Linked DNA regions of Nothobranchius furzeri. The protein of the gene in region 1 interacts with the protein of each later gene in a biochemical or structural test. Links are inferred from orthologs where the notes say so. Each region holds a gene or a part of one and is shown in the gene's direction. Other genes may lie near its edges.

Evidence for each region.
Region 2: the proteins of rad51 (region 1) and sem1 form a complex in vitro, tested with the Homo sapiens proteins (2 studies listed by BioGRID). The link is inferred for Nothobranchius furzeri from reciprocal best matches to the Homo sapiens genes RAD51 and SEM1.
Region 3: the proteins of rad51 (region 1) and fbxo18 form a complex in vitro, tested with the Homo sapiens proteins (2 studies listed by BioGRID, with this or other methods). The link is inferred for Nothobranchius furzeri from reciprocal best matches to the Homo sapiens genes RAD51 and FBH1.
Region 4: the proteins of rad51 (region 1) and abl1 form a complex in vitro, tested with the Homo sapiens proteins (2 studies listed by BioGRID). The link is inferred for Nothobranchius furzeri from reciprocal best matches to the Homo sapiens genes RAD51 and ABL1.
Region 5: the proteins of rad51 (region 1) and rad51ap1 form a complex in vitro, tested with the Homo sapiens proteins (6 studies listed by BioGRID and IntAct). The link is inferred for Nothobranchius furzeri from reciprocal best matches to the Homo sapiens genes RAD51 and RAD51AP1.
Region 6: the proteins of rad51 (region 1) and rad52 form a complex in vitro, tested with the Homo sapiens proteins (6 studies listed by BioGRID). The link is inferred for Nothobranchius furzeri from reciprocal best matches to the Homo sapiens genes RAD51 and RAD52.
Region 7: the proteins of rad51 (region 1) and rpa1 form a complex in vitro, tested with the Homo sapiens proteins (2 studies listed by BioGRID). The link is inferred for Nothobranchius furzeri from reciprocal best matches to the Homo sapiens genes RAD51 and RPA1.

Annotation. Positions count from the first base shown.
Region 1 is NC_091743.1:91,861,135-91,865,342, forward strand, and holds the start of rad51 (DNA repair protein RAD51 homolog 1), read left to right. Parts: upstream 1-1,408; 5' UTR 1,409-1,485; exon of another isoform or gene 1,486-1,519; intron 1,520-1,817; 5' UTR 1,818-1,904; coding exon 1,905-1,988; intron 1,989-2,921; coding exon 2,922-3,059; intron 3,060-4,208.
Region 2 is NC_091751.1:26,675,765-26,679,987, forward strand, and holds the start of sem1 (26S proteasome complex subunit SEM1), read left to right. Parts: upstream 1-1,423; 5' UTR 1,424-1,508; coding exon 1,509-1,584; intron 1,585-1,966; coding exon 1,967-2,060; intron 2,061-4,102; coding exon 4,103-4,145; 3' UTR 4,146-4,223. UniProt on the Homo sapiens protein: Component of the 26S proteasome, a multiprotein complex involved in the ATP-dependent degradation of ubiquitinated proteins.
Region 3 is NC_091741.1:60,824,100-60,828,272, reverse strand, and holds the start of fbxo18 (F-box DNA helicase 1), read left to right. Parts: upstream 1-1,373; 5' UTR 1,374-1,513; coding exon 1,514-1,535; intron 1,536-2,082; coding exon 2,083-2,241; intron 2,242-3,768; coding exon 3,769-4,173. UniProt on the Homo sapiens protein: 3'-5' DNA helicase and substrate-recognition component of the SCF(FBH1) E3 ubiquitin ligase complex that plays a key role in response to stalled/damaged replication forks.
Region 4 is NC_091746.1:53,653,275-53,657,253, forward strand, and holds the start of abl1 (tyrosine-protein kinase ABL1), read left to right. Parts: upstream 1-1,179; 5' UTR 1,180-1,409; coding exon 1,410-1,536; intron 1,537-3,979. UniProt on the Homo sapiens protein: Non-receptor tyrosine-protein kinase that plays a role in many key processes linked to cell growth and survival such as cytoskeleton remodeling in response to extracellular stimuli, cell motility and adhesion, receptor endocytosis, autophagy, DNA damage response and apoptosis.
Region 5 is NC_091741.1:43,136,872-43,140,988, forward strand, and holds the start of rad51ap1 (RAD51-associated protein 1), read left to right. Parts: upstream 1-1,317; 5' UTR 1,318-1,552; coding exon 1,553-1,569; intron 1,570-1,652; coding exon 1,653-1,699; intron 1,700-3,556; coding exon 3,557-3,692; intron 3,693-4,117. UniProt on the Homo sapiens protein: Structure-specific DNA-binding protein involved in DNA repair by promoting RAD51-mediated homologous recombination.
Region 6 is NC_091744.1:73,170,775-73,174,767, reverse strand, and holds the start of rad52 (DNA repair protein RAD52 homolog), read left to right. Parts: upstream 1-1,193; 5' UTR 1,194-1,333; intron 1,334-1,627; exon of another isoform or gene 1,628-1,850; intron 1,851-1,940; 5' UTR 1,941-1,955; coding exon 1,956-2,009; intron 2,010-2,163; coding exon 2,164-2,265; intron 2,266-2,446; coding exon 2,447-2,540; intron 2,541-2,683; coding exon 2,684-2,751; intron 2,752-2,852; coding exon 2,853-2,971; intron 2,972-3,060; coding exon 3,061-3,136; intron 3,137-3,220; coding exon 3,221-3,438; intron 3,439-3,522; coding exon 3,523-3,704; intron 3,705-3,993. UniProt on the Homo sapiens protein: Involved in double-stranded break repair. Plays a central role in genetic recombination and DNA repair by promoting the annealing of complementary single-stranded DNA and by stimulation of the RAD51 recombinase.
Region 7 is NC_091753.1:47,659,301-47,663,428, forward strand, and holds the start of rpa1 (replication protein A 70 kDa DNA-binding subunit), read left to right. Parts: upstream 1-1,328; 5' UTR 1,329-1,448; coding exon 1,449-1,478; intron 1,479-1,735; coding exon 1,736-1,783; intron 1,784-2,116; coding exon 2,117-2,195; intron 2,196-3,105; coding exon 3,106-3,214; intron 3,215-3,297; coding exon 3,298-3,386; intron 3,387-3,480; coding exon 3,481-3,570; intron 3,571-4,128. Other genes in the region: serpinf2b (serpin peptidase inhibitor, clade F (alpha-2 antiplasmin, pigment epithelium derived factor), member 2b), read left to right, coding at 132-481. UniProt on the Homo sapiens protein: As part of the heterotrimeric replication protein A complex (RPA/RP-A), binds and stabilizes single-stranded DNA intermediates that form during DNA replication or upon DNA stress.

The DNA of each region.
Region 1 (4,208 bases):
CGGATAAATACGTTGTTAAGGACATGCCAGACCTGTAGTTTTCGAAGTTTTCCCACCAACTGGCAGTCCTTCCCGGTCTGACCCAGAACCTGCGTCGGTGTCTTTGCCGAAAAACCTGCCTTGGACGTGAAGAAGCCAGGTGCCGGGCAATAGCCGTTCGTAACCTCGTCCTTCGTCTGTGGTCTTCCGCAAGCAGCAGTAATTCCTCTTGCAAAAACAAACAAGCAAAAAGCGCTTGGACAATTGATAAAGCGAGCGCAGCTCTGAGGGCATCCATGCTGTCGGCTAGTGTAAACACAGGTCGCACACGTGATGTCAGCATTTTTTTGTCGCGGAAAGTGACGTTGCGGACCTTAAAACTCCGGTTTTGTCTGTCCACACGCAGACACCCAAAACGGAGAAAACGCAGATCTTCACTTTGGCCGGAGTTTTTAAAAAGATGCGTTTTCGTGTGGATGACAGGCCAAAACGTAGAAAAATATCTACGTTTTGGCAGATCCCCGGCTACGTGTGGACAGGGCCTCAGACATCTGGTCAGAATGCTCCTGGACCCCTCCCTGCATTTCTGGGCACTTCCAACTGGGAGGAGACCCAAGTCCCAGGTCACGCTGGAGGGACTATGTCTCCCAGCTGGCCAGGGAATGCCTTGGGTTTCCCCGGAGGAGTTGGCCCATGTAGCTGCAGAGAGAGAAGTCTGGGCCTCTCAGCTTGGGCTGCTGCCCCCATGATCCAACTCCAGATAAGCAGCTGAAAATAGATAGATGAACGGACACCTAAATTTTCCCTCTGGGGACAATAAAGGAATTTTCTTTTGTATTTGTTTCTCAACTGAGGATTATTTTACAGAATAAATCCTGCTTTTCATTTAGGAGAAACAGCTGGCTGCTGTCATCCTTTTGTTTCTGCTGGTGGCATTGTTTATATCCTGGTAATGTTCTGTGAATGCTGGACGCTGGAGCACTAAGATCTGTATACCCCCCACTCACCACTGCCCTTTGTCCACCTGCAGACCTCAGTACAATCATGTGATGGATTAACAGATTCATAGTCTTGTGCAGTGCCAAATGGTTTATCTTTTTATGATAACTAATAAAAGCAACAGCAACATACTCTTACTTTTACCTTGGTGTAGATTTAACATTATGTTCTAAAAACTGTCTGCTATTCTATGCATCGATGACTGCATTTTAGATAGCTAAATTGCTTTTATAGAAATCACATTATTATAAATAATAATAATAATAATAATAATAATAATAATAATAGATAATAATAATAGATAATAGATAATATTATAGTATAATAATATTATAATAATTCATAGATTATAAAAAAAGAAGAAAAAAGCTCTATATGCTTTTATTTTGACGGGAAAAGAGATATCCTGTTTCACGCAAGCGAACTGTACGTTAAACGTCATCGCGTTGTTGTGCGCGCGGGACCTTTGAGAGAAGCGAGATAAAAACAAGAAGAAGAAAGAAGCAGGTAAAACGTTAGCTAGTACGGCATTATCGAGCAGGTACGTTAGTAAAAGGCTGTCTAGTATCATGTGTACGAGCTTACGAGACCGCAGCGTGAGTTTTAATCAGACTTATCTCTGGTCTGAGCAGGTTTGTCAGCAGTTTACAGACATTAACGCCACTTCAGATGCAGCGACAGTGCTAATGCTAAGCTAGCTGGCTGCCTGCGTAAAACTGCCAGGAAACCTCTTTTCAGGAGGTGGACATCTGTAACTGAAGATGATGGCAGTTTTATATTTTAGCTTTGATTTCAATCACAATCTTTGAACGTTGGCTCTGTGTTCTTGTGTTTTACAGCGTTGTTAAAACACTCTGAGCTCCACCACACAGAGTTGTGCTCTGTTTCACCGTCTGCGTCCCTCCTGTCTGCCTGATCCAGCTGCCATGGCGATGAGGAGCGAAACAGCAGTGGAGGCAGAGGTGGAGGAGGAGGAGAACTTCGGCCCACAGCCTCTGAGCAGACTGGAGGTTCGTTTCCTGACTTGTTCCCTCTGAGTTATTCTGGTCTTCTTTCACTCGAACTTTGACTTGTTTTATGGATGTTTTACAGGTTTTTCCTATGATTCACGTGAAGTAAACGTAAATGTGAATGCACCAAAGCACATTAAAGGTGAAGCTGTCAGCTTCACTCTAGGACAAGAAGTCTCCTTTGTGTCCAATCTGAATTGTAAATGCAGTCCTACAGGACACGTATCAGACAGTAGTAACCTCTCAGATACCAGCTGCCAGGTGCTACCTACACGAACATGACCCCAGAACCGCTCTCACACACCAGCGAAGAGTTTTGTCTTCTCTTTAAAAGCAGAAGAGGTTCTGTTGACGGTGGTCATTTCTCAGCTGGAACTAAAATCTGCAGCTCACATTAACTTCTTATTCAGGACCCTTCAGTATCGTATTGTGTGTGCTTTTATCTCAGACAAAACGGAGCTGTTTGATGACGGCAGTGATCCACTTTGGTCTTTGTCCTGTTTGGACTAGCTGTTAGCTCATCAATCTGGTCAGGACTAATCTGTTTCTCTAAACCGAGTCGGCTCAAAGAGCCAGGCAGTGATTGGTCAGAACCTTTTACAGAGTCTCCCTACAAAGATCTTAGCTGTATGTTGTCTTGTTTTATCCTCTAAGCTCAAAATGATCATTATTATTATTTTTGGTTTATTCAAAAGCTGAGCGCTGTTTCACCTGAGAGCTTGTCACTATAAGAACCCTGTTATGGTTTTAGTCTATGATCCAGTTCAGCAGCTCCAGTAGTTTCTGAGAGGGGATCACTGATTACCTGCTACTGTGGATGTGGAACAGCGTTTGTGCTCCTTTAGGTCGGTTCGGTCAGTGATGTCTGTACAGGGCTCTGGTTTTCCTGACTCAGTGGAATGATACTAGACTGGTCCTTGTCTTTTCATGCAGCAATGTGGCGTAAGTGCCAGTGACATCAAGAAGCTGGAGGACGCAGGTTTCCACACCATCGAAGCTGTGGCTTATGCACCGAAGAAGGAGCTGCTGAACATCAAGGGCATCAGCGAGGCCAAAGCAGACAAAATCTTAGTAAGGAGCATATTTTTATTCTCTGAGACATTAATATGCTTCTAGGAGAGAAGAGATCCATGGCAGCAACACCACCTATTTAACACTAAACACTAGGGTGAAATTAAATTGGTGAAATTATGGTGATGCAATATGTATCACGATACATTCAGGACATTAGCGATTTTTATTTATTTATTTATTTTTGACTGAATTTATTGTAGGAAAATTCAATAAACAGTCCAAACTGATACATAACATGTTTAACATGAGGTATCTGAACCATAATAGAGATTTACATTTCAATGGTGGATAGGAAACCCATTGCACACTGCTGCCATCTAGCGGTCAGCGTTTGCATCGCACCAAAATAAAAGCAAATACACAAGTTTGCATGTAAATTCTTTCAAAAATTAGACTCACAGCTTTTGAATATGGATGTAATATCACTAGAAAAAATATCAAGCTATATTGCCATATCGATATTTCCTTACATCCCTAGGCTACGTTATAAAACTATATCAGAAGCGTGTTGTTAATTCAATTGAAAAATACTTTATTAATCCCAGAGGGAAAGAGTCTGGACTTTAAAATCTAACAGATGTTACATTGAAAAACCTCTCTGCCCTTCTCACTCACTGACTCTCTGAAGAAAATGTTCTCAACGAGATGAAGAACACAAGCTTGCGATTGGTCAGGACGCCGCTTTCGTCAACAGCATTGTCATTGTGCTCTCAGAACCATAAAGCAAGCTGAAGACGTGTAGCAGCAGACCGAACACGCGTGTGCGTCTCCAACCTGTGGAGATGACGCAGAAGCATAAACGAGTCTCTTGAGAACAACAGGCTTTGTTTTACGATGCACATCCTTGAACCCAGATGCATCACACCAAGCCACACATGACAAACCGTCCCGCAGCGCTGATGAGGGCTCTAGTTTTGTTGCGCCGTTTGTGTCAGCGGACATTGTAGGGTCGGGGAGGGGGGCGGGGCATGACTATATATAAAGTGCTGGGGGAATCCCTGCACCTGATATGTGCAGGTAAACATGGGGGCTCCTGCGCGTGACGTAGAGATGACTGTCTGGAGTTTAGAACCAGAGGCTTCATCTGAAGTGGTCCACCTTAACCCCCTCTGTGATGTCACCAACACGAGGTTATTGAGTAAATGA
Region 2 (4,223 bases), on another chromosome or scaffold:
CGGGCCTAACGCCGCCCCTGCCTACTGGAGTTTAGTTTACCGGTATTCATTTTAATTACAACCTGACCTGAACCATCATCGTCTAATTCAGGTAACCGTGGTCACTGACACTGAAAATAAAACAAATGACACCACATTTTAATGTCTTCTATGTAATTATTTATATAAATCTTAAATTAGATCTATGTAATACGACTGTTATCCTTTGGAATAAAGAACAACGATGCCTTCATTTTGTTAAAGTTAATTGTTGTTTTGAATGTTTGTTAGATAATCGTCAATGCATTTATTAAAAATGTATATTTAATCTTTTATTGACCAGGTGAAGTCTATTGCGATCAAAGAGACTGCAAGAAGGCAGTATCTCTTATCATGTGTTTACATCCAGTATTTAGTTATTTTTAACTTTCTAAGTATTTCTGCAATTGGTTTTCTTGATATTTACTCTTAATTTTTTTTCTTTCCTATTTGCTCAATATAATGAATGTTATTGATTCAGTGACACTATAAGCTCCCTACTGAGGGACAATAAATTGATATTCTATTCTATTCTATTCTATTCTATTCTATTCTATTCTATTCTATTCTATTCTATTCTAAATAAGGTAAAAGTTAGAAATAGCTCAAATTCAGCGTGATCCATTAAAAACATTTGCACACAAAGCCGTCTGTAAGTGATTTTTGCTCTTGGTCTGCTCTCTTTTCACGTGTCTGAGCAGAACCTCCCTGAACCATCTGCAGGTGGTTCAGAACGCCTGTGCTCGGCTTCTGACCAACTCCTCCAAATATACCCACATCATCCCGCTTCTCCTTCAGCTTCACTGGCTGCCAGTCAACTTCAGGGTTCATTTGAAGATCCTGGTTCTGGTCTATAGGGCCTTACATGGACAAGCACCATCTTACATTGGTGATCTTCTCTGTCCCTACACCCCCAGCAGGTCCCTGAGGTCCAGTGATCAAAGCCTAATGGTTGTGCAGTGCACCAGGCTAAAGACCAAAGGTGACAGATCATTTGCTGCTGTGGCCCCCAGACTCTGGAACTCTCTCCCCCTGAGGCTGAGATCAGTGGACTCAGTGGTCTCCTTTAAAAACAGCTGAAGACTCACTTGTTCAAGCTGGCTTTTGTATGACCTTCTTCACCACTCTCTCTTTATTCTGCTCTCCCCACCTATTCCACCTTCCTCAGGATCCACTGATTTCCCTCTTTCCTATTCATTCTCTCTCTTTCTTAACATTTTTTAATCACAATTGTCTATTTTTGCTCATTTTAAATATATGTTTAACCATTTTCTAAATTCTTTTTTATTTTTGTGAAGCGCCTCGTGATTTTAATCTTGAGAGGCGCTATAGAAATGACATTTTCTCCTTCTTCTTAGGAGCTGCGCCTCCTCCTGCGCTCCCTTGCGCAGTAACAACTCGCGTGAACAGACACAGATTCCCAGAATTCCGTTTGCGCGTGTGGAACGGAAGCATTCATTAGCAAGCAGCGGCGGAGTGAGACAGATAACATGGCAGACAAGAAACAGACCGTAGATTTGGGATTACTAGAGGAGGATGACGAGTTTGAAGAATTCCCAGCTGAAGGTAAACCAGCCACTTGTTATTTAGCGATGTAGTTTTGTTTTAGCGGATTGTCGCTTCTGAGCCTAGCTACGATGACTCAGCTAGCGTTAGCCTTAGCTTCGGTTAGCTGGGAAAACAGCAAGGAACTGGTAGCTAGCTCAGCAAAACGGATTATTCAGCTTAGTAGATCTTTTTGTCTTGTAATGCGGAAACGTGCTTGTATTATATCTGTGTAGTTGTACCGTTTTGATGTTTCACCACCTGTGTTCATTAGCACGCATTAGCTAACAGTGTTACGGAGGAAAACGAGAACAGGTGAAACATCAGCTCATGTGGAGGGTTTTTAAGAGTGAATCTATAGGTTACAGCTATATTTACTGACATGCATGCGTTGTTATTCCAGATTGGACGGGGTTGGATGAAGATGAAGACGCTCATGTTTGGGAGGACAACTGGGACGATGACAATGTGGAGGATGATTTCTCTAATCAGCTACGGTAACCCTCAGATTCATGCAGGATTGAACAGACTCTGTGTAAATACTTTAGAGTGTACTTTTATCTAGGTGAGCAAGTCAACCCGAAACCGTTAAACTGGCTGTTTTATCATCATCTCACGTGGCTGGTGAACAGTGGTGTTTATGACTGTTTGGTTCTTGCTTCCACGTGAGCTCTTGATTTCCTGTTTTTTTTATTTTATAAATGATACCTGAAATGTTCTTGTTCAGATTGTTGTAGAAAACTAAGTGTTTAGATAGTTTTGTTGTGTACAGAGTGTTTTATGAGAAAACATTAAATGGCAACATAATATGTGCCGTTTTATTCTGTTGAGCCATTGCTGTCCACCTGCTAGTTAAAATAAAAATATATTCCACACCAAACTTACGAGCACTCTGCCACATTTCCCCCTCGCTCCAACGAATTATCCAGCATAAACTCTCTAAACTTCAGTATCAGCACCAGATGTTTAGAAAACTAAATCGGGACAATATTGTTGTGCAGTTCTCAAGTTTTCTGTTGATGTGGATAAAAATCTGCAGGGCCTGAAGTACTTTGTTCTGTTGAAACGTTTTAGCTCAGAAGTTTCTTCATAGTTCATGTTGTGTAAGCAAAATGCTTTTAAACAACATGGAAAAATTAGGGATGGGTACCGAATTCGGTACTTTTTAAGGTACCGACCGAATTCCATAGTACCGGCCGAGCACCGATTCACTTCATTTGAAAGGGTGCCTCGTTTCGATACCCGTCCTTCACAACGAGTACTTGCCTAGACAGCTGCGCATGCGCAAGAGCGTTATGTCATCGGTCCCTGCGAGCGAGTTGTAAACAGAGCAGCATGGTAGAAAGAACGAACGCTAAAGCTTGGGTCCACTTCACTAAATGTGATGGGTAACTGGGTGATGATGAAAACAGCGACAACGATCTAAGTGAGACATCCTCATCTTAATCTGCTCCGGTAGGTAAATAAAATGTAAGATAACGTTAGCTTGATTTGTTAGCTTCCGTTTCACTAATGGTGCGTTCGCTTTCTCCTCGGAACTCCGAAATCCCGACTAGAAGAACATGAACGCGCTCTAAAGTTTGGCTTCGCTTTACTAAATGCGACGGGTGATTGGGTGAAGATGAACCAGTGACAACGATCTAAGTGTGAGGCATCATCGTTTAAATCTGCTCCAGTAGTTAAACTGTTTAAGATAACGTTAGCTTGATATGTTAGCTTCCTATGCCACCATTGTTATCATCTAATGGTGCGTTCGCTTTCTCCTCGGAAATTCTAACTTCCCAGTAGGAAAAATCAAATGAAAAAGGACGGTAAAAGGAATGAAGATACACAGTAAATTTAGTTCACAGTAAAGATGTTTGCTTCAGTTTAATTATCAGCTTATAAAACTACAAGGACGATGTTAAAATACAAACTGTTATATGTTATTTATCGTGATATTTATCAAATATGGTTATGAATTGAGAAAAATATATATTTAATTATAAAAGAGAATCAAAATATTAAACACTCAAAAGTATCTAAAATTGGTACCGTTAAGTACCGGTATCGATTCCTAGGTAGTGGTAATTAGCACCGAATCGATTCAAATGTCAAAGGTACCCATCCCTAGTGACATTACTATGGGCTTAGTGTTTGGATTGATTAAAGCGCGTTTCTCCTCAGGGATGGGACTGATGATGCGTTTTAGGCCGACACACAGAATCGATACCAGCTGATAGATGCGTGGCAGCTCTGTTTATGTTTGAGTACACTCAGGACAGCAGAATGCTGTTGTATTTAGGTCAGTTACAGTCGCCGTACTATTAAGTTGTTTCTTAAAGATATCATTATTGCGTAAGGGCACAGCGGCCATATGTGTGTATAATCATTAAATCCATGGCTGCATGCGTTATCTAATATTTATGTATTATTATTTTTTTCACTTCCATCACTTAATGGTTCTTACAATCAATAGCCGAGGGTACTTGTGCCCCGGCCGCCCACCTGTAATCATCTCTGCTGACTTGATCTTTTATTTTCCTTCTCCTCCCTGCAGAGCGGAGCTGGAAAAGCACGGATACAAGATGGAGACGTCGTAGTGGCTCACGGAGCCTTCCGCTGGATATGGACTCTTATTGCTGGGTCGTTCACCGCCCCGCTTTTCAAATGTTAATTAG
Region 3 (4,173 bases), on another chromosome or scaffold:
TTGATTCAAAGTGTCATACTAATCAGCTAATGTCAACACCTGCAAAGGGTTCCTGGAGAGGCTGCCTTGGGCGAGCTACCCGCCAAAGCAGCTTGAATCAATAGAAGCTCAAAACATTAAAGAAAACGGATCATAAATATGACTTTGAAAATAATTGTAATCAGTGGTGCTCCCAATGGGTGGGCATGGCCACCCTAGAAAATTGCTGGCCCCTCTGGGAAGACCAGTGTTAATAAATCCTAGTAATGTTCACTCAAACCATAAATGTATCTCATTTATTCAAGACATCAATGTAACCCCCCCCCCCCCCCCGAAAAAAAATTTATACAATTTATAACGAAATAATCTGAATTTTGAAAAAAATGATCTGTTTCTACTGCTCACCATTTTAAAAAGTTTATAGTTCCATAGTTTTTGTGAAGACAGCTACAGGAATTAAACTAAAAACAGAATTCTAAAATCTATTTTGAAAAACCATAAATAATTTTTTTTATATGTTTGTGTCTCAATTTAGAGTCAAGTGTTTTGGATAGCTCTGTCAGTGCGCCCCAGGGCAGCTGTGGCTATGTCGTAGCTCATCATCAACAGTGTGTGAATGTGTGTGTGAATGGATGAATGCTACACTGTAGTGTAAAGCGCTTTGGAGTCCTTACTCTGAGAGGTGCTATACAAGTGCGGGTCATTGATCATTCATTTAACATTTTATACATATTGTTGAAAATATAAATAAATAAATAAACACGAGCTAAACTGTTCCAGAGTTAACACAAGGGCCAATTTGGTGTGCCACGCAAAATTTTTATTGGCCACCCTTACCAAATTTTTCTGGGAGCGCCCCTGATCAAAAACCATGTACTATTTTATCTCAAGATAAAAATTACGAGGCGCTTCACAAAAACACCAAAGTTAAGGATTATTACATTATTAAAAAAAATATTATTTACATTCAGAAAATGTGAATAGAAAAAGAAAAACGTAATCGTGGGATCCCAAAAAGACAGAAATGACAAAAACACCAGCATAAAAAGTAGCAGAAATGGGTTTCCGTATCAAAGCAATCTCTATGAGATGACTCCTCCATAAACATTTTATACATAACATGTCAACCATTCTAAGAAATGACCAGCAGGTGGCGGCGTCATCTAATAGCCAACCTCGAAAACCCAAAGAAGAACCAACCGACCAATCAGCTGGCAGGAACATCCCAACATGTTTTAGGTTTCGAACTCAAAGCAGAGGGGCGTTTGAAGAAGAAGAAAACGTGAACTGTAACGTTTTCTTAAAGAAGAGAAACAATTAGCTCAGCAGAGGTGGCTTGTTTAACTTTTCGTGTTTTGTTGTTTTGCACTAAACGTACGTTTCAGGACAAATGAGTATAAATAAGCTAGCAGGGGTTGTTTTGGGTTCAGTGTTTTTCTTTTAAAAGTTATTTTCGAAAACTTACTCGGTTCAGCAGAGGTTTAAATTTGCGTGACTCGATCCTGGAGCTCGCGTGGTGGATGTTTTGGATACAATGATGGAGGTTGCTTCCAAAGGTGAGCATGAACAAAAATGTCATTGTAGCCTACTTGATTCGTTTGTTTATGTTAAGCAGCAGGCTGATAAATTGGTCGGATCCAGGTGCTTGTCTGCCAAAAGCATGTTATACGTTATTCGCAGTTTAAATCAAATCCTACAATTGTACCACTAAAGACACAGAGTTGTCTGACTTTAGCAGAAGGTTGTCGTGTTTAACCCGCTTGAGTTGGTTTAAAGTTTTCTGGGTTTAACATAACTTGAATATATATTTTTATAAGAACTGGACAGCTGTATCTTTATAGCTAAAATACAACGTGATGCAGTTGCGATGAATATAAATATAATTTTGTGAATGAAAAAAATGTTCCCCACATTATAATCGATTTTGTTTTGTATAATTTGCTCATAACTACTTAACACTGTGGAATTTCCCCTTTGCCAACAGTGGTAAAAACGTCCATCTTCCCTCTGGAGGGTCGGGTCTGCCTCCAGCAGCGTGTGATCAGTTTTTGCCACAACACCTGTTGTAGGTTTTTGTGTTGTAACGATTGTTTGTGTCACCAGGAAAGGCCAAGCGGAAGCACCTAAGTGCCGGGGACTGTAAACAGCTGGCACAAAATGCAGACTCTCTTACCCAACCCCACACATCCAACCACGGGCTGAGACACCATGACCACAACCAAAGGCTTCACCCCAGGACCCCCAGAAAACGACGGTGTTCTGGTAAGCCACTGTAAACCTGCTACAGACATCTAAACACACCTTTTTTCTTTTTGAGCGTGTCCCTTCCTCTCCACAGCCAATCATCTGTCTCCATTTTGTCCCATCTTCTGCGTCCTCTACCCTCACTCTTAACTAACCTCATGTCCTCTTTCACAACATCCCTAAATCTCCTCTCAGCCTGGTGGCTCCAACCTCAGCATCCTTCTACGTATATCATTATTGTCTCTCCTCTGGACATGTCCAAACCATCTCAGTCTGTCCTCTCTGGTTTTTTCTTTAAAACATTAATTGTAAGCTGTCCCTCTGACTGACTCAGTCATGATCCCACCCATCCTCGTCCCTCCCGAAGAGAATCCGCCTCCTGTCTTTTCTTCACGGACTCTGTCTCTAAATCGGACACAATAGATGGTCTCACTACTGTCTTGTGCACATCAGTGTAAAGTTTCTACAGTCAGTGATGGTGTCAGGTGCCATGTCGTCTGCTGGTGTTGGTCCATTGTGTTTTCTGAGGTCCAAGATCAACGCAGTTATCTACCAGGAAGTTTTTGAACACTTCATGCTTCCTGCTGCTGACCAACTTTATGGAGATGCATATTTACTTTCCCAACAGGACTTGGCACCTGCACACAGTGCCAAAGCTACCAGTACTTGGTTGATGGACCATGTTGTTGATTGGCCAGCAAACTCACCTGACTTTAACCACATAGAAAATCTGTGGAGTATTGTGAAGAGGAAGATGCAACATGCCAGGCCCAACAATTCAGAAGAGCTGAAAGCCACCATCAGAGCAACATGGGCTCTCATAACACCTGAGCAGTGCCACAGACTGATCGACTCCATACCACGCTGCATTGCTGCAGTAATCCAGGCCAAAGGAGCCGGCTTACAGCCTTTTTTTGCATTGGTCTTAATTAATAATCTAATATTCTGAGATTTTGAGATTTTCATTAGTTGTCAGTTATAATCATCAACATTAAAATAAATAAACACTTGAACTGTATCAGTCTGTGTGTAAAGAATTAATCTAATATACGAGTTTCAATTTTTGAATGAAATTACTGAAATAAAGCAACTTTGTCATGATATTCTAATTTGACCAGCGCTTATATAGAATTCTTTACCAAGCTAGCAGAGAGGTGCTTTGTTCTTGTAGCTGGTGATCGATTGGAGACAATGGTCTCTGAGACAGTGGTGCAGACAGAAGCAGGGTCATTAGCTGTGAGCTGTTAAGAGCTTAGCAGCACACGGTTGTTGAACGCTCCTCGCTGCCCTGCTAAACCTGTTCTTTGCCTCTAAACAAGTTCTCAAATCACAGGGTGTGATTGGCCCAGTGCAGCGCCGGGTGCAGCGTATGCAACTTTAACAGTAGTGTAACAGTGATCCAAGTTTCTCCGCCCTCTGGTGTCACTTGTAATAAACTGATTATCTCCGTAGTTTTTGTTTGAGCCTAGTTTTGTTAAAATCAAGGAGTTGGGCCTTCTGTTCAGCTAACTCAGTGTTGTTTTTCTCCTTTTCTCTTTGAAACAGCTGCTCCTGCCTCCCAAAGCCCCTCTGGGAAGCAGAGAGCCATCAACGACTACTACTGTGTGTCCAAAGTAATCAGTTCCAGTCCTCAAAAGTCCTCTCTGCCTTCCACGTCTACAGTTCCTAAAGAAGGCTCTAAGTTGGTGGAAGAAGAACAAGATGATGATGATGAGAGCCTGTTGTCTACCCCGTTGGAGTATGAGCCAAAGGCAGAAGATGAGGTCGATGACGACTGTCTGCTAGCTGCAGAGAACTGTCCCTTTGAAGAGGCCAGCGCGTCAGGTGCTAGGATGATACCTGAGCGTGATGGGAAGGCAGAGGACTATCTGGAGGGGATGACAGCTGAAATGTTTGGAGCTGATGGGGAATTTGATGAATGCTGTAACCAAGAGGAAGAGGTGGAGCCCC
Region 4 (3,979 bases), on another chromosome or scaffold:
TAAATACGCAAATAGAGGACAGCGCAAAGAAGAGTTCAGAAGCTGTAAACAGAAGAAATAATTTGCAAAAGGAGGCGTTTGTGTCCGGCCCGGAAGAGTTCCCTCAACTTCTCTTCGTCTTCTTGGTTAAAGTCTAGTTCGACTTCCAGAGGGGGAGACGCTCCAAAAGATGGGAAAAGTGGACGCGGAAGTTTAAAAGAAACTTGTGATTTTTGTTGAGATTGGTTGCAACATGGGAAAATATGTTTTCCATGTGCTTTTTGGGAGACATTTTGGTACAATTGTCCGAGGATATTAGCGGAGAACCAGCGCGAGCCAACTGTTGACTCGAGCCGATGTGCATACCACCAGCAGACGTCGGTTAGCTTCATGGCTATCTTCAACGTTAGCTGGAGGTCGCCGGCTAACCAGATATTTCGCAGTTTTTCTGCTCGTGTAAGTTTGCTTTTTCGTCTTTTTACACTCTTATAAGAATTCAAGTTAAACGAGTGTTAAAAATCTGTCCTTTTAACAGCAGGGCTAGTTATTGACATTTCTGACTTCGGAAAATAAAATCTAGCCCCCTGATTAATCCCTTCCTTGGGATATAAATCTTTTTAATAAAAAATCTCACCGATTTACTTCAGATCAGTATAGAAATAATATAACCAGAGTGTGGTAATGTTTTTAAAGTTGTCTGTGTGATAAAAATGATGATAATTGACTAATAGAACGAGAAGGAAACACCCATGATTTAGGTGATCCTTGACTTTGTCAGTGACTCTTATGCTGTGGATGGAATTGTGCTGGCATTGTTTTTATTGGGTTGACTCTTGTTTGAATAGTCACAGTAAATCAATACACGTGTACCAAGTGATCCCTTTCCTGTTCAGACATGTCTAAAAACAATATTGGAAGTGGAACCCATCAAATCGAATACTTATAGAACAGCTTTGTTGGTTTTTATAATTTTACACTCATTTGTACACAGAATCATTTAATTGTCAAAATATGAATACATTTTTGAAGGATGGTGTTTCACTACAGCAGATAAAACTACAGTTCAATATATGAGGGATGCTTGACTAGCCCGTGGAGAATGATTTTGAATGTCAATTGCTTGAATAATTTGTGGGTTTTAATCGTTTTGAATTAATCATTGAGTCATCCATTATTTTTCCCCTAGACTCCTGTCAAACATCTTGTCATCTGAAGGGCCCAGAATCTATAAATGCATGATACACAGGGACATCCTGGAGAGATCCGTCCAACAGACTTGAATCACCCATTTTTTAGTGGGGACTGTCCAAGTCGGGGAACAGGCCTCCTGATTTCTCCTGAACTTTTTCCTGCCCGGAGCCCATTTGCTGGAGGGTGAGCAAGTGATACTGGCTTGGAGAGTCCCGGCTGCAGCCTGGCACCCTGGCCTTATGGGGCAGCAGCCGGGGAAGTTTGCAGGGGACCAAAGGAGACCCAGTTTGCCAGCCTTTATTAAGGGGGGAAAGAGAGAGTCATCACGCCATGTGAGCCAGCCCTGGAATGTTTTCGATAGGCATGGTAAGATCGAAACACTTTTCTAAATTTCCTGTAAGGGTTTATTTGCAGTCATAGTTGACAGACACTTTTTCCCTCCCTGTATCTTGTTGGCATTGGCCTAAACTTCTCTGTCATCTAAATATTAAGAAGGAAAAGTTGACAATCCAGTTTTATTTACAGCAATCAACATTTTATATTTATTCTCTAATCTAGTGGCAATGCAACAAAGTTGTGTGTATTCTGTTTGGACAGGACAGGAATTCCCTTTTATGTTAGAACAGCCAAGAGCAAGATGAAGAACATTTTAATGGTGTGGAACATTAAAAAAAACATTTTTAAAATCTTATTCAGGGCTTTTCCTGGCTCAAATTGAGGCAGAGGTGGTACCATCCTGACCATGCGCCAGCACATGCATACTCTGTGCATTCAACTGCCTCACTTTTTTAAAGGCAAATATATTTTCGTTAAGTGATCTAATCTAAGCTTCTGTTGATTAATAGAATATTCCATTTGACAACATCTCAAGTGAAACAAAACTGGTTTGCTGCTCAAAATATGAAATAAAACAACATTTTTAGGCTGAAGTAACAGACTCTTATTATAAAAGGCTCAATAATATGCATTAGATTGGTGTTTAGTTCCCATTTTCCCATCTGATATTTATAGTTGAAATATTTTTTAATACTTGACCTACATTTCAGTAACATTTTAGGTTTGTTTTAATAACACTCATCTTAGTCAAAATAACACATAAATATATCCAGTAAAAAATAATGCATTTCATTAACATGCATTTGTGTTGGAAATGATAATAACTTGTATTTTCTGCTGCTAACAATGTAATGGTAACATGTCTATTATGTACGGGTTGGCAATAATCCAATTTAAATTATGTTCAAAGATAGAAGCGTTTGTTAATTATATTCTACAATGGCTTGCACTACATCCTGCTCCTGTGTAACTCGTATCTGCAGCGGTTCTGGTCCATAGCGCTGCAGGATGCAGAATAAACAGGATGGTGGGGACCTTTCATCCACTTGTTGAGTTTAGTCTTTCTTTGTTTTACGATCATCATATATCCACTTGATCGTGCGACTGCTACCCATTAGCTTTAGCATTAGCCAATCTGCATGTAGCTGCACTTTTGATCCCAAACTTTGGACCGGTTCTGCCTTTGTGCCTTTGCTGGTTCCTTTATTTTCCTCCACTGCATCCAGATTATCACACTGTGCACCTGTGAAAAGCATTTTTCTTACTTTTGTTCAATAACGTTCTGCAGTAAATAGTAATTCAAAGATGTTGCACCAGCGCTACATTGAAAAATAGACAGACACACACAATGTTTTACGTTGCACTGTACACCCCTGCTCTGATAGGGAAGAAGTGCCTGGGGGAAAATCAGGACGTCAGTAGCACCAAACATAGATATGTACCAACTAGCGAGAAAAGCTATTTTTGATCATTTTCTGCAGTGGTTTTAGCGCGTTTCAGTGCACCGCTGCTGATACAGCGCCCCTGTAGTGGCGCAATGCTGCAACTGCAGTTACAATAACATCCATATAGCTGGGGGCAGAGTGAAATCAGGCTGGGGCGGCACAAAATTAGCTGGAGTCGGCCGCCACGCAAATTTGAACGCAGGTAAAGCCCTGTTATTTTTGATGATAATTGGTCAGTCTGAGTTTTTCTTGCAGGCTGAACATGGAAATGGTATTTACACCTATCTTCTGCATTAGCTTCTGATGGAAAATAGGATTTGAAAAGCCTGACAGATCTACGTCAAACTGACACAACATTCATGGACCCACCCACCATGACTCGTGACAGGGAAGGTTGTTGGTTTTAACGTCCAGGAAAGGGCAAAAAATGGCTTGGCTAGTAGAAGCTAACTGTTAGCATTAGTAACTCCACCACACAGCAGAACTCCTTCAAATTTGTGTTATTTGTGGAGATAAAACATCAGTTTTGCAAGTTAGTGGTAGCCACGTTGCTGTTATCTAATCCGGTCATGATATCCAAAAATCAGGAAATAAGACTCCAAAACGTGCCGTCTGAAACTCAGCAGTGATGTGGCTCACTTCTAGTTCCTGGAAATGGTGCACTGGAGCTTTCCCCCTAGAGTATGACTTATGGACTCGACACACAGAGGCAACAAACGACTGCGTTAAGTGAAACTTTTCGCTATTGCTTTGATAACCTGACACACGGGAGGTGACGTGGCAGTGGCAAAAGCAAGCAACCTGTTCTGTTCCTGGGCAAATAGCAAGTCTTCCGTTGTTTTGATTGGCTGTCAGATTGGAGGGAATGTTGGGTTATTACAGCAGTTCAGAGTTGAAAAAGTGGTAGATATGAAGCCTCACAAGGTTTTGCTAGAGTTAAAGTGAAGTCTTACATCTGACTTTACTATATAAAAAATTAGTGAATGTGTTTATCCCATATTACAAACCATTAAAAGAAACAATGAATA
Region 5 (4,117 bases), on another chromosome or scaffold:
CATACTTATAGATCTTTTAGTAGAGTTTGAAAACAACATTAGCTTAGTCTTGTCAGCACTGAGGAGCAATTGTAACTGCATAAGTGTTTGTTGGACCTCATTATAAGCTTTCTGTAAAAATTCAACATTTTCTAAAACAATAAAAATATAACAGCGTAAAAGTGCATATTAGCATCCAATGCATTTTGTCCTATGTCATTAATTTAATTAATGAACAAGAGGGGTCCCAAAACTGAACCCTGTGGTGCGCCCTTGTGGACACTCAAAAATTCATCACATTTAACGCATTGAGTTCTGTACTTCAAGTAGTCTGCGAACCATGAGATTGCATGTTCAAACAATCCCAAACAAAGAAGCTTTTTAAAAGATCATGGTCTACAGTGTCCAAGGCCTTTGACAGATCAATAAACAGTGAGGCTGCATTTTATCCTGAGCAACAAGTATGTCATTGATCACCTTTGTAGCTGCCGAGATGGTGCTGTGTTTTTTTCTGAAACCTGATTGCAGACATGAGAGAAGGTCATTTGAATATAAAGTATTTCAATTGCTTACTTACTAGGGTCTCTAGAATTTTGCCAGGACACACAGATTAGATGTTGGTCTGTACTTTATTATTAGGGCTGGGTCACCACCTTTCAGTGAAGGAGTCACAAAAGCAGACTTCCAAACTGATGGTTTGTTTTTGTTAGAAAGGGTAAAAATAACTGTAAGAGTCTCTGCTATGAAATCAGCAGCCATTTTCAAAAATAGGGTTCTATCTGGACCAGAGGGTTTTCTGGGATCCAGAGTTCTAATAATTTTATTCACTTGCTCTATAGTAAAACGGAACAAAATAAAATAAACGTCAGGGGTCATTTGGGAATCGGTGCAGGGGGGGCACAGGGGGTGTTCCAGTTGAAGTACACAATGAACCAGATGAGCTTGAATGCTCATTAAAACTTAAAGCTCAGCTTTATCATGGGACAAAGTCGAGGACATAAAAATAATAATAGTAAAATAACCAAAACGAATAAAAAACTCCCGTTTTAATCGAGGCAAAAACGAACAGCAACTTTTGGGAAATGTAGATACAATATCCCCAAAAAATAACATTTCCATTTTGTTTTACATAAAAAAAGTTTGACTCGTTACATAGAAATTTAGCCGATTCGACAATTTATTTTGCGCACATTACTTCAATAAAAAACTGAATAAAAAGTGGTGGAATCATAAGTATTTATAATTATAAACAATACAATGATTATATGTATCCAAAAAATTAAAATTGGACTTTTGTAAAAATAATACCGATAAATAAATTCAGTCGAATCAGCTTCCGGTGTTCGTCAGATTGGTCAACAACACCCAACGTCACTTCTTGTCAGTTCAGGCGGGATAAATGAAATCCGAGATGGGACGCGTTTTGTTTTTTTTACTTTTGTAGCTAAAACGCCCCGAATCTAATCGTTTAAATACTTTAAATAGGCACATTATACTAGTTAGTTATTAAACCAAAGCAGGTTAGCTTCTTTGTTTACGTTGCTCCACGGTACCGATCTCTGACGTTGACGTGATGGAGCGACCGTCACGGTGAGGAGACACGTCTTAATACCAGTTCTGTATATATGTATATATAAATATATAAATGTTTTAACCGATATGTTTACTTACAGAAAGACAAAGGCTGTGAATTATTCTGAAAGCAATGACTTTGACGATGGTAAGAAAATCTTCACTTTACATTTCCCTCACATTTATCTCCAAACCTTTGTTTATTTACTGTTACAGTTTAGTTTTTGTCAACTTCCCTTTCTGGTTGTTGTTGTTTTTAACTCACCAGATTTTATTTATGTCTATTAAGAACGATCAAGTGTAAACAAAAACAAATTAGTGTGATTATGTCTCTAACATTGTTTTAAAAAATAGTGGCTATCAATAGGATTACCTTCTGTTTATTTACCAAAAAAAGGTGTTCATTCTATTCCTATTCTAATTAGTGGCGGGCTTTGAAAGGGTTGTCGTTTATTTTCTTGATCAAAATCTTCATATCAGAGACCAGAACTTGTTTTGTTCATATTAGCAGAACCGCAGAAATTAAACAATACACTGTTTTTGAATATTTACTGGTTCAAAATAAAATACAAAAAAACCTAAATGTGTCTTAAAAATAGATAATTAAAAATAAAGACTCTGAGAAGTGTCTTTAAGTAATTTTAACAGGTCTAAGTGAAACAGAATAATTAAAAAACTGATTTCGCCTTTTGGGGGACACCGCTCGTCAGGAGGATCCATTAAAATGATCAGGTATTCCACTGCTGAGGGTCAGCAGCTGCCCCCAAAACAACAGGATACATTTTCAGTGAGCTACATAGTTAAAACTTTAGTTCTGGGATGTATGCTAGGTGCGTGCTAGGGTGGAAGATACTCTCTGAAGGCCCAGATCTTCTAGGGACGCCCCTGTTCCGGTAGCTCTCAGTAGGTCATTCCACCATCCTGGAAAGCCACAGGAAAAGAGTTTATCGTTAGTTTTCTAGATTCAGTTCTGGAATTTGTGGACTCGCATTAATAGAGTAGAAAAAAGTCAGCATATCAGTGACCACTGATATGAATAGAATTTAGACAAAGCTGCTCAATCCCGGAGCTCAGAGATTGATTACACCATGCTGTGAACGCACAAACTCGTATAACTGTCGAGATGAGTCGTAAGCTTGGAACTTTGGCTGAGATTCAGACTCTGGCACAGAAGGTGATTCGATCAAGGAGAGAGTTGACGGATCTGGGATAGATTAATTACGCCATTATTGGATTTTGAGAGGTTGAGGACCAACGGAACTTTAAGGCAGAGAGGAAATTATTTCTGTCTGGCCCCAAAACAAGCTCTTATCTGAATCTGGTGCCCTTGAGCCTGTGAGGCTGAAGTGAATACTCCCCCCTCAGAAGAAATGTGGAATGCTGCCTTTGCCATGGCAACTCTGCCTCCCTATCCCAGCCTGGGCAGACTGCGACCGGTGAAGGCTGTTGAATCGTTTCCAGTAGTCACTGGGCTTTCTAAACCCAAATACCTCCCTCCCCTGTCCAAACGGAGGTGACGAGCGCTGCTTATCGCGGCTGCATGCACTGATGTGTGGAGAGTCCCCAACCCTACCTCCCCACCTAGTGGACACATATGTTGTGTGATGTCTGAAGTCTGTTGCATTTCTGTCTGAGGTGTTTTTTGCATAGCTACGCTGCCCTCCCTGTGGAGGGTAGCTCTGAAGTGCCTTTTTTCCCTCCACCTGACCCAATCCTCATTTGTAAACCCTCTGATCTCTATTAAGGCAGCGTGACTCGGGTTGCGAATGACCACAGTCACCAATTCTTGTCATGTGTCTTTACCTATGTATGTATGTCTGATGTCTGAATTGTGTGTACTGAAACTCTAATTTCCCTCTGGGATTAATAAAGTATCTTTGAATTGAATTGAATTATGTTTTGTTCCTTCGTGTCAAAACATCAGGGTCGTCAGTAATTTTATGGTAGTGAGAGGGACGGGCATATGTGAATAAAGAGTTTGTTCTCCATCTTCATTCTGTTTCAGATGAAGATTTTGCTTCTGTGAAAGCACCACCGAGCAAAAAGCACAAGGAGGACATGAGACAGGAGCAGAAGAAATCTTCAACCAAGTCCGTCAGTCAGGAGAGCGACTCAAAATCAACAGAGAGTGAGAAGAGCAGGTGGGTGACAGGCTTGGTCCAAAAAGAACAGCGTTAAGAAATGTATTTATTTTATTTAACCAGATGAGTCGATTGGGAACTCGTTCTCATTTACGACGACGATCTGGCCAAGAGGCAGCAGCAACAGACACACCGTTAGCTTAACAGGATAAACAGATGAAACGGTTAGACATAAAGACAAAGGACTCACTCAGTATGTACAAGCAATCAAAACAGAGTTAAACAACCTTGAAGTACTCAGAAGCAGGCGCGCTGATCAGAAACTATTGATTGCAGGTAGATAATGGAATGAAGGTTGTGTGCTTCGGCGATTTTTGCTGCTCATTCAGTCGTTGGAAGCTGCAAACTAGAATGAGGAAAATTCATTTAAAAAATACATCAAACTTGTATAGCGCTTGTTTTGGGCACTGCATGCACTCTCACAT
Region 6 (3,993 bases), on another chromosome or scaffold:
GTAATTTAAAAACAATCAAATAAAATAATGAATTTTAAAATTCATAATTTTATTTGTGAAACGTTAAGTGACTGAATTAAGCATGGAATAACTGCAGATCATCGCTATGGGGGATCTTTGGCCTGTGCAGATTTGTTTTAGTTTACCAAAACAGCTTGTTTAAGCTCAATGGCGGATATTTTCTTTCAGGATTTTTCTTATAGAGCAGAATTCATAGATCCGTTGAATACAGCTAGTGGCCGTGTTTCTGAAGCTGGAAACCCGTGATAGAATTATCCAGAATGTAAATAAAAATGTTTTAAAAAAATTGTATTACTGGAATTAAAAATGAAACTTTGAAGGGATGCGAAAGTATTTCATATTTTAAAATGTGATGTAACGACAACAGAGACCCAGGAACCGTAAACATACACAAACATTATGGTTCACCATAATAAAAAAGATGTAAAAAAAATACTAAAATAACTAAAATCACATTTTAAAATGTCCAACAGAAATCCAAATTATTGTCTAATCTAGAAACAAAATTAACTTAATTCAGAGCGATACTACTACTACTACTATTACTACTACTACTACTACCTTCTCGGCCTAGTAGAGTGTCTGCCTGGGTCTTTAACCCTCCCGCTGCCCTCACCCTTGCCACATGGGCCCAAGGGATAAACCATCAATCCTGCTCAATGGTCAACTTTCCTCGCAGGGTCACCCATAAAGACAGTGGGAGGGTAAAAAATGGGACCCAGTGCCTCCCTGCTTGACACCCAGCATTAAGGGGTTGGATTGGGGGGGTTTAAACCAATAACAGCATATAACAGCATATATATATATATATATATATATATATATATATATATATATATATATATATATATACACACACATGTGTGTGTGTGTGTGTGTGTGTGTGTGTGTGTGTGAGCAACTCCAGAGTGGTAGAAAGTCCAACCCCTCTCAAGGAAACTGGTTACGGAGCCAGAGCCATGCATTGAGGTGAGTCCGACTATATCTAGTTGGAACCTCTCCACCTCAAAAACCACCTCAGGCTCCTTCTCTACCAGAGAGGTGACATTCCATGTGCCAAGAGCCAGCTTCTGTAACCAAGGATCAGACCGCCAAGGTCCCCGCCCTCGACAACCACCCGTCACACACTGCACCTGACCCCTTTGGCCTCTCCCACGAGTAGTGAGCCCAGGTAAGGGGGACCCACGTTTCCTCTCTGGGCTGTGCCCGGCCAGCTCCATGGGTGAAAACCCGGCCACCAGGCACTCGCCAACGTGTCCCACTTCCAGGCCTGGCTCCAGAGGAGGGCCCCGGTGACCCACGTCCGAGCAAGGTAACACGGTTTCCATTTATGTTATTCATTATATATATATATGGGTTAAACCACCAAATAATGCCGCTTCCCACTGGATGGGTCAAATGCGGAGATCGCCACCACTGTGTGATGACTGTGGGACTTTGAATACTACTATCACTACGTTTCGTTTCTAACTTCAACTTTATTTTGTTACTATTTATGTTGATACATTTTCTCCGGAATCGTTAGGAAAAAATACCTCTCATTCTGTTATTAAAAAGGTAATGGTGTCTCTGCAGAAATGTTGAAGGGTTAATTTTCCGATTGTCAGGAAGGCAGCACGAGGCTCCGCCTCTTCCGGTGAGCCAAGCGGGAAGTTGCTTGTAAATTTAAACTAGCTAACACCTTCGTGCTAATTTGACGTAAACACCACATTTATTGGATTTAAAGCAGTGAGTTTACGTTTACTCGTTTTTTTATTAGCAGCTTTTAGCTAGGTTGAGCTAGTTACGAAGACTAAAGCTTAAACCCAACGAGTCACTTCTATGTTTAAGTAAAGCATTTGTTTTGTTAAATGTTGTTTCAAAAGCCTAGAAGACACTAATGAGTGTTACTGTTTCGTTTTGCTCTATGTGTGTTTCAGTATGTCTGCACAGCTATGACGAGCAGCAACGAGGGATGCATCCCAACGTCATCCAGGCACTTCGGACAGGTAAATAAATCAAACAATTGCAGAACTCGAAACTATTTTAGATGAATTTTCAATCGAATTACACTTAAATTATAATATTAGATTAATAAATAATGAGTGTTTTAATCCCACAGATGCTCAGGTTTTGTCAGATGAATTTGTTTGACTTTTTCAGTGCACCTACACAGCTGAGGAGTACCAGGCGGTGCAAAATGCCCTGCAACAGAAACTTGGACCAGAGTACATCAGTTCCAGAGTGGCTGGAGGGGGACAAAAAGCAAGTGTTTCTTTTACTTTGTGACAAAAACGTGAGACGCCTGGTTTCATTCATGAAGCTTGAGATTCAGAGCTTGAGCAGAAAACATGTCTCAGCACAAAACCCAAGTCTCCTGATGGGATTTGAATTTACTGATCATTAAAAAGGTATTGTAATGATCTAATAGTGTTGTTTTAAACAGGTGTGTTACATTGAAGGCCACCGTGTTGTCAGCCTGGCCAATGAGATGTTTGGATACAATGGATGGTCGCATTCCATTTCCCAGCAGAATGTTGGTACGACTCATCTGCATTTGCAACAAGTGCCTAAAAACTATTACTTGCTGAAAAACAGTCAGAAATAATCATTTGCACATGGATCCTTCAAATATTTTACGTTTTAACGTGTTATAAAAATGACTTCTTTTTTTCTTTTCCAGACTTTGTGGACCTGATCAATGGGAAGTTTAATGTAGGAGTCAGTGCGTTTGTCAAAGTGCAGCTGAAGGTTGACTCACAGTCTCATCAATATTAATCATCAGCTCCAGTTTCCTGTGAGCCTCTACAGGTAATCGAAGTAAAGTGTAACTGGTGTTTTTTCTTTCCTAGGATGGGTCGTTTCATGAGGATGTGGGATACGGAGTGAGTGAGGGGCTGAGGTCCAAAGCTCTGTCCCTAGAAAAGGCGAGAAAGGAAGCTGTCACAGATGGAATGAAGAGAGCACTGAGGTAAAGACCTTTACAGATTTATATTTAGTAACTTTGATTCATGCGAGAAATTTGTGTAACTCTTCAAAAATATTATTTCTCATGTTGAGATGTTTTGGTAATGCCCTTGGAAACTGCATCCTAAATAAAGATTACCTCCTCGCCATAAACAAGATCCCAAAACAGGTCAGTCGGCAATTTAGGTTTTTTGTTAAATTGGATTATTCAAATCCATAAAATTTTCTAAAACTTGACTTCTTCTACACAAAGCCTCCTCCTCCTCCTGACCCGACCCAGACTAAACGGTGCGACGGTCAGCCATCAGTAGAGAAGGCTCGGCTCTTCAGTCTGGTCCAGGAAGATTCACTTTTAAAAGCCGGACCTGCCCGAATGCCACTAGAGCCCAGATTATTCTACCAGAACCATTCAGAAGTTCACACCCCTGGAGCTGCTGGCTTTGCTCCCAGCGGGGTGAATGAGAACATCAAGTAAACATTACAAACGGCTCTCAATCTGCTTCTCTCTTTTACAAGTGGTCATCCACCATAGCTGCTTTTCTCCTCTCCTCTAAGATATGCCGTGAACTCTGTCGATGTCGTCTCTGAAGCACACACGGACCCCAAACAGCTGAGGAAGCTCCGACAGCAGCAGCTTCAGCAGAAGTTCAGGAGAGAGATGGAGGCAAAGAAGCTGCAACAGAAACAGGAAAACTCTGAAGAGGCAGAGGTCGCTGTTAGACGTAAATCCTCCGGAGGTAAAAGTTTCATGTTTAACATTGAACACCAAAAAAAGTGCACTAAACTTTAGTAGTTACAAGACTGATATGGGGCAGGTGGAAGCGATCAAAGGTCCAGGTTAGCCCGGTAGATTATCAACATAGGTTCTTAAAGGGTCCCAGGTTTCGTGGCATTAATTGATGGTGCCATCGAGTGTACATCTGATTTTTTCCAGTTTAACATTTTGCATAACCGTCTGTGATCCAGTGGTGTTGTGATGGAGGGATAGAATCATTCCATTTTTATAAAATCAAGCGTGTGGCTAGT
Region 7 (4,128 bases), on another chromosome or scaffold:
AGTTTTAGATGTTTTATTAATGTTGCAGATACATTTTAATAAATGTCAATTTTAAGTAAAAATTTGGGAAAACCACTGTTATTTTCTTAACTGAGCCTCAAAATGTAATTTTTATTTTTTATATTTTTCAGGCCTCGGGGAGATGTTCCTGAATCCTAACTTGGCTGATATTGCAGACGGCCCCCTGCTGGTGTCCAGTGTGATGCACAAGTCAAGCATGGAAATAAATGAGGATGGTGCAGAAGCTGCTGCAGCCACCAACATAGTTATCTCACGGGCAGCAATTCCAGTTTTCCACCTCACTAAGCCCTTCTTTTTTGTGCTTATGGATGACGTAACTCAAATACCAATCTTCATGGGTGTCATCAACAATCCTAATCCTGGAGCCCCTATCCTGCAGAAAGGACAGTTTGGAAGCAAAGATAAAATGGGTTTCTCATATGACAAAGATCACATGAGCTCATTTGGGGGTCCTAAATAGGAAATACAAATCTGTCCATTTCTTGAGAGAAAGCTAGGAGTTAGCAGTTGTACAGACTAGTCTGGATCAAAATATGTGTGAAAATAAAAACGTTTTGTTTGTTTCATAAGGAAATAATTATGCTTTAAAGCCCAATAGTCATTTTAAGAGGAATATTCATTTTACATGACTGTATTGTATAAGATGTGATGGTCAAGAAATTAAACGATAACATTAAATTCACAAAAAAGTCCCTGTCATGTTACTTGATGGTTTAATTTTCCACCACATGTGGAATGTGTCAACATGTAAAGTCTAAAATATCATATGTTTGAGCATTACTGCATGACTGAGCATTTTCTTAAAATATTTTAATTTGTTTTCTTGTGTACTTAAATCAATTCAATTTATCTAAATCAGTATTGATATGAATTAATTTGCTGAGACATTTAAATCAAATGGTTATTTAAAAATACTTTTCAAATCTTGCCATGTGACACATTTTAGGAGTTACAATATTATTGTAATATGACTTACGGTAAAATTAGTTAATTTCTTAGAATATAATTTTCCCCCTCCAAATATAGTTATTATGCGACGAGTAAAACTGTGCATAATACTAACATTCCGTGTTTTTTAAAAATCGCTGAAAACACAAAATCGGGTGTTTCCTGTTTTCAAATGTCATTGAACGCATCGCAACAAACGTCACTCAGTTTTGCGCTGAGAAATTCAGTGCTGGTCTGCGGTCAGTTTAGTGAGAATTTACCTCTAAGCCTTGCTGTTCTGACAGATTTTGGAAACTGAAGTCAGATCTGTTACCGGAAACGGAACCCGACAACACGGAACTCGACAAATTGAGCGCGCGATGCCTGAGCCGTTGGCGCCACAGGCATAAACTTCAAGCTGTTTGCAGTGATAGTTGTAGAAAACCGTCTGTCTAGCAGTTGCTAAAGTAATCTTCAGTTTCAACGCAAAATCGTCAGACATGCCTAAACTTTCAGAAGGCGCGATTGAGGTAAAGTTAATGTCAGTTCAACTAAAATGCTAACGTGTTTTTGTAGGCATTTTCCTACTATGTGTTTGCATTCGCGCGACATTTTTTACATTGAGGTTAATGGAAACTTAAAAACTAATATTGACTGAAGCTGGTGTAAATTGAAACATAATTTGAAGTAGCGTACATGTGTTTAGAAATCTTTTGTAAAAAATGAATGCTTCTACTGTTAAAACAAAACAGCTGTGTTACATTAAGTTAATTGTTTTTGTTTGCAGGCTTTAGCTAATGGCTCCGGTTGGAATGACGCAGTTCTTCAGCTGGTGGTAAATAACGAAAACGTGAAATACCATTTAAACGTATCATGCTCTTAAACGCATGTTTACTTTTGGGCTTCGTTTTTAGTTCTGACACGGTTAAGGCCCGCATCACATGCGGCCTCTTTGTTTAACCGTCATGACGTATTGAAAGCTGTGTAAACTTGTGAAGCTGCTTTTTGTGCGTTATATATTTTAGAAGAGGCATTAAACGCCACACTCTTTTTCAGAACGCTGCTTCAGCAAATTCCAACAAATCAGTAACTCAGGCATTAGTTAAATGCTTTTGCAGATTTCTTGATTAAATTGCAAGAGTTTATTATTTTTTTCTTTAACTTTTAGAACATTCGCAAAATAGAGGGAGGAAGTGGGATACCTCGCTTTCGGGTGATGATGAGTGATGGACGCCACACACTGTCATGTAAGTATGATATACATTTGGATCAAACCAGTCTCTGACCCTGGGTTTGGCATTTAATCATTTTTGAATGGAAAGTGTTAGTGAGACTGCATCTTTAGAGAGAAGCTACTCCGTTTGCAATTTTAATTTGTCTAGTTTCATAGACTCAAATCTCATTTTTCCTGCATGATAGTTCTTGGTAAATAAATAATTAGAAGGTCAGGGCAGCTGTGACCTTGACATTTGTTCGTTAGTGGAAAAAATTGGCACTATCTCCTTTGTTTACTTTGTCAGGGAAAATTTTACCCTGAAGCACTGTTGGTGTACGAATCGTGTGATGAGCAGCACATCTATTTGCGTTTTAAACGACAACATGATTAACATTTAAATGACATCTGGAATGCATATTTGTTTTGTGGTTTTATTTTGCAATCATTAAAGGTTTTAGGTAGCCTGGCAAGCTATGTTGATATATAGTCTGGCTACAACCCATAGACTGAGCTCGGTCTTGGGGCAGAATCTACATTTTGTTTTTTAAACGGTCTCTGCTTGCAATACTACAGTGCTAGCACCAATCAGAGCAACAAACAACGTGACGTATTGACAGCAACGGAAATCGCTCGACAGGGCAGTCTGCCATACATTATCGAAGAGGTACCTCCACCTGCTGCACAAGTCTAAGTCGCCCAAATTTGATACCAACACCTTTTAAAAAGAGTGCCGTTCCTGAGCCGATGCCATCTTTGTTTTGCTTTGTCACCGCTGTGGTTCTAAACTCCTCAACTCTTGCTAGACCAACCCGCAGAGCATAAATCTTCAGATACTCCTACAGTTTTTCTAGTTCTCTAGGCTAGGGTTTAGGTGCACATTGTGAGTTTTTTTTTTTTTGTTAACGTAAAGCTAACCAAACATTTTCCCTCATCATTTGCAGCCTTTATGCTTTCCACTCAGTTGAACTACTTGGCTGAGGAAAACATCCTCGCCCCAAACTGTGTGTGCATTCTGAAGAAGCATGTGACCAATATTCTGAAGGATGGACGGTATGCAGATTTCGTAGCAAATATAAAAATTTGCTATTTAAAAAGCAAAAATGAACAAGAATTGATGTAAAATCTGATTGCAGCCGAGTGGTCATCATTTTGGAAACCGAATTGATCAAACCTGCTGAAGAAGTCAGTGGTAAAATTGGAGACCCTACTCCTTACTTTGATGGTAAAACTCAATGGCAGTGAGAGAAACAGAGGTGACTCATTATTGAGTCATCGTGTTGCCATAGGCTTGTGGTAACTTGATGTTCTGTTTGTAGGTCAGAATAAAGGCCAGCAGTCTGGCCCCGTCCCTGCAGCTCCAGGCCCCGAAGTCAGACCTCCACTGCAGGCACAAAACAAGAACGACGGTAAGTTCAAGCTTTTGTCTTTTATATTTATTTAATTTTTCTGCTGAAAAAGCTGACCATAGACAAAAAACAAAATGTCCACTAGATGGCAGCAGCTTTCTGATGGTTTAGGCAATCTTAAGGTTTATATGACATTTTGACATTTGCGTACAGAAATCTTATTTTTATCCTCTTATGAAACAAAAATCTGTGCTTTGTTTCCATAACTATGCTTCCTGTTGGTGCATCGGGAGGAGTTTCCTGTTCTTTCCCTGTGAAAGACAATCACTCAACCAACTGTCAGAGTGTTGATTAGATCAATAAAATACAAATTTTACGTTCAGATTTCTGAGACCAGTAGCAGAGCTGCAGACTCCCACATCTATGTTGTGTCTGCGAGTGACGAAGCAGACATTCATCCCTGGAATCTGCCATGTGGGAGTGAAGGCTTGCAGCAGCCATCTTCCTCATCAACAGGAGGGATTGTTCATTTCTCTGTGTGTGCTGCTTGATCTCAGAGTTTAATTACCTGAAGTGCAGCGGTTGCCAAAGTGTGTGGACTCGAGTGAACACTTTGAA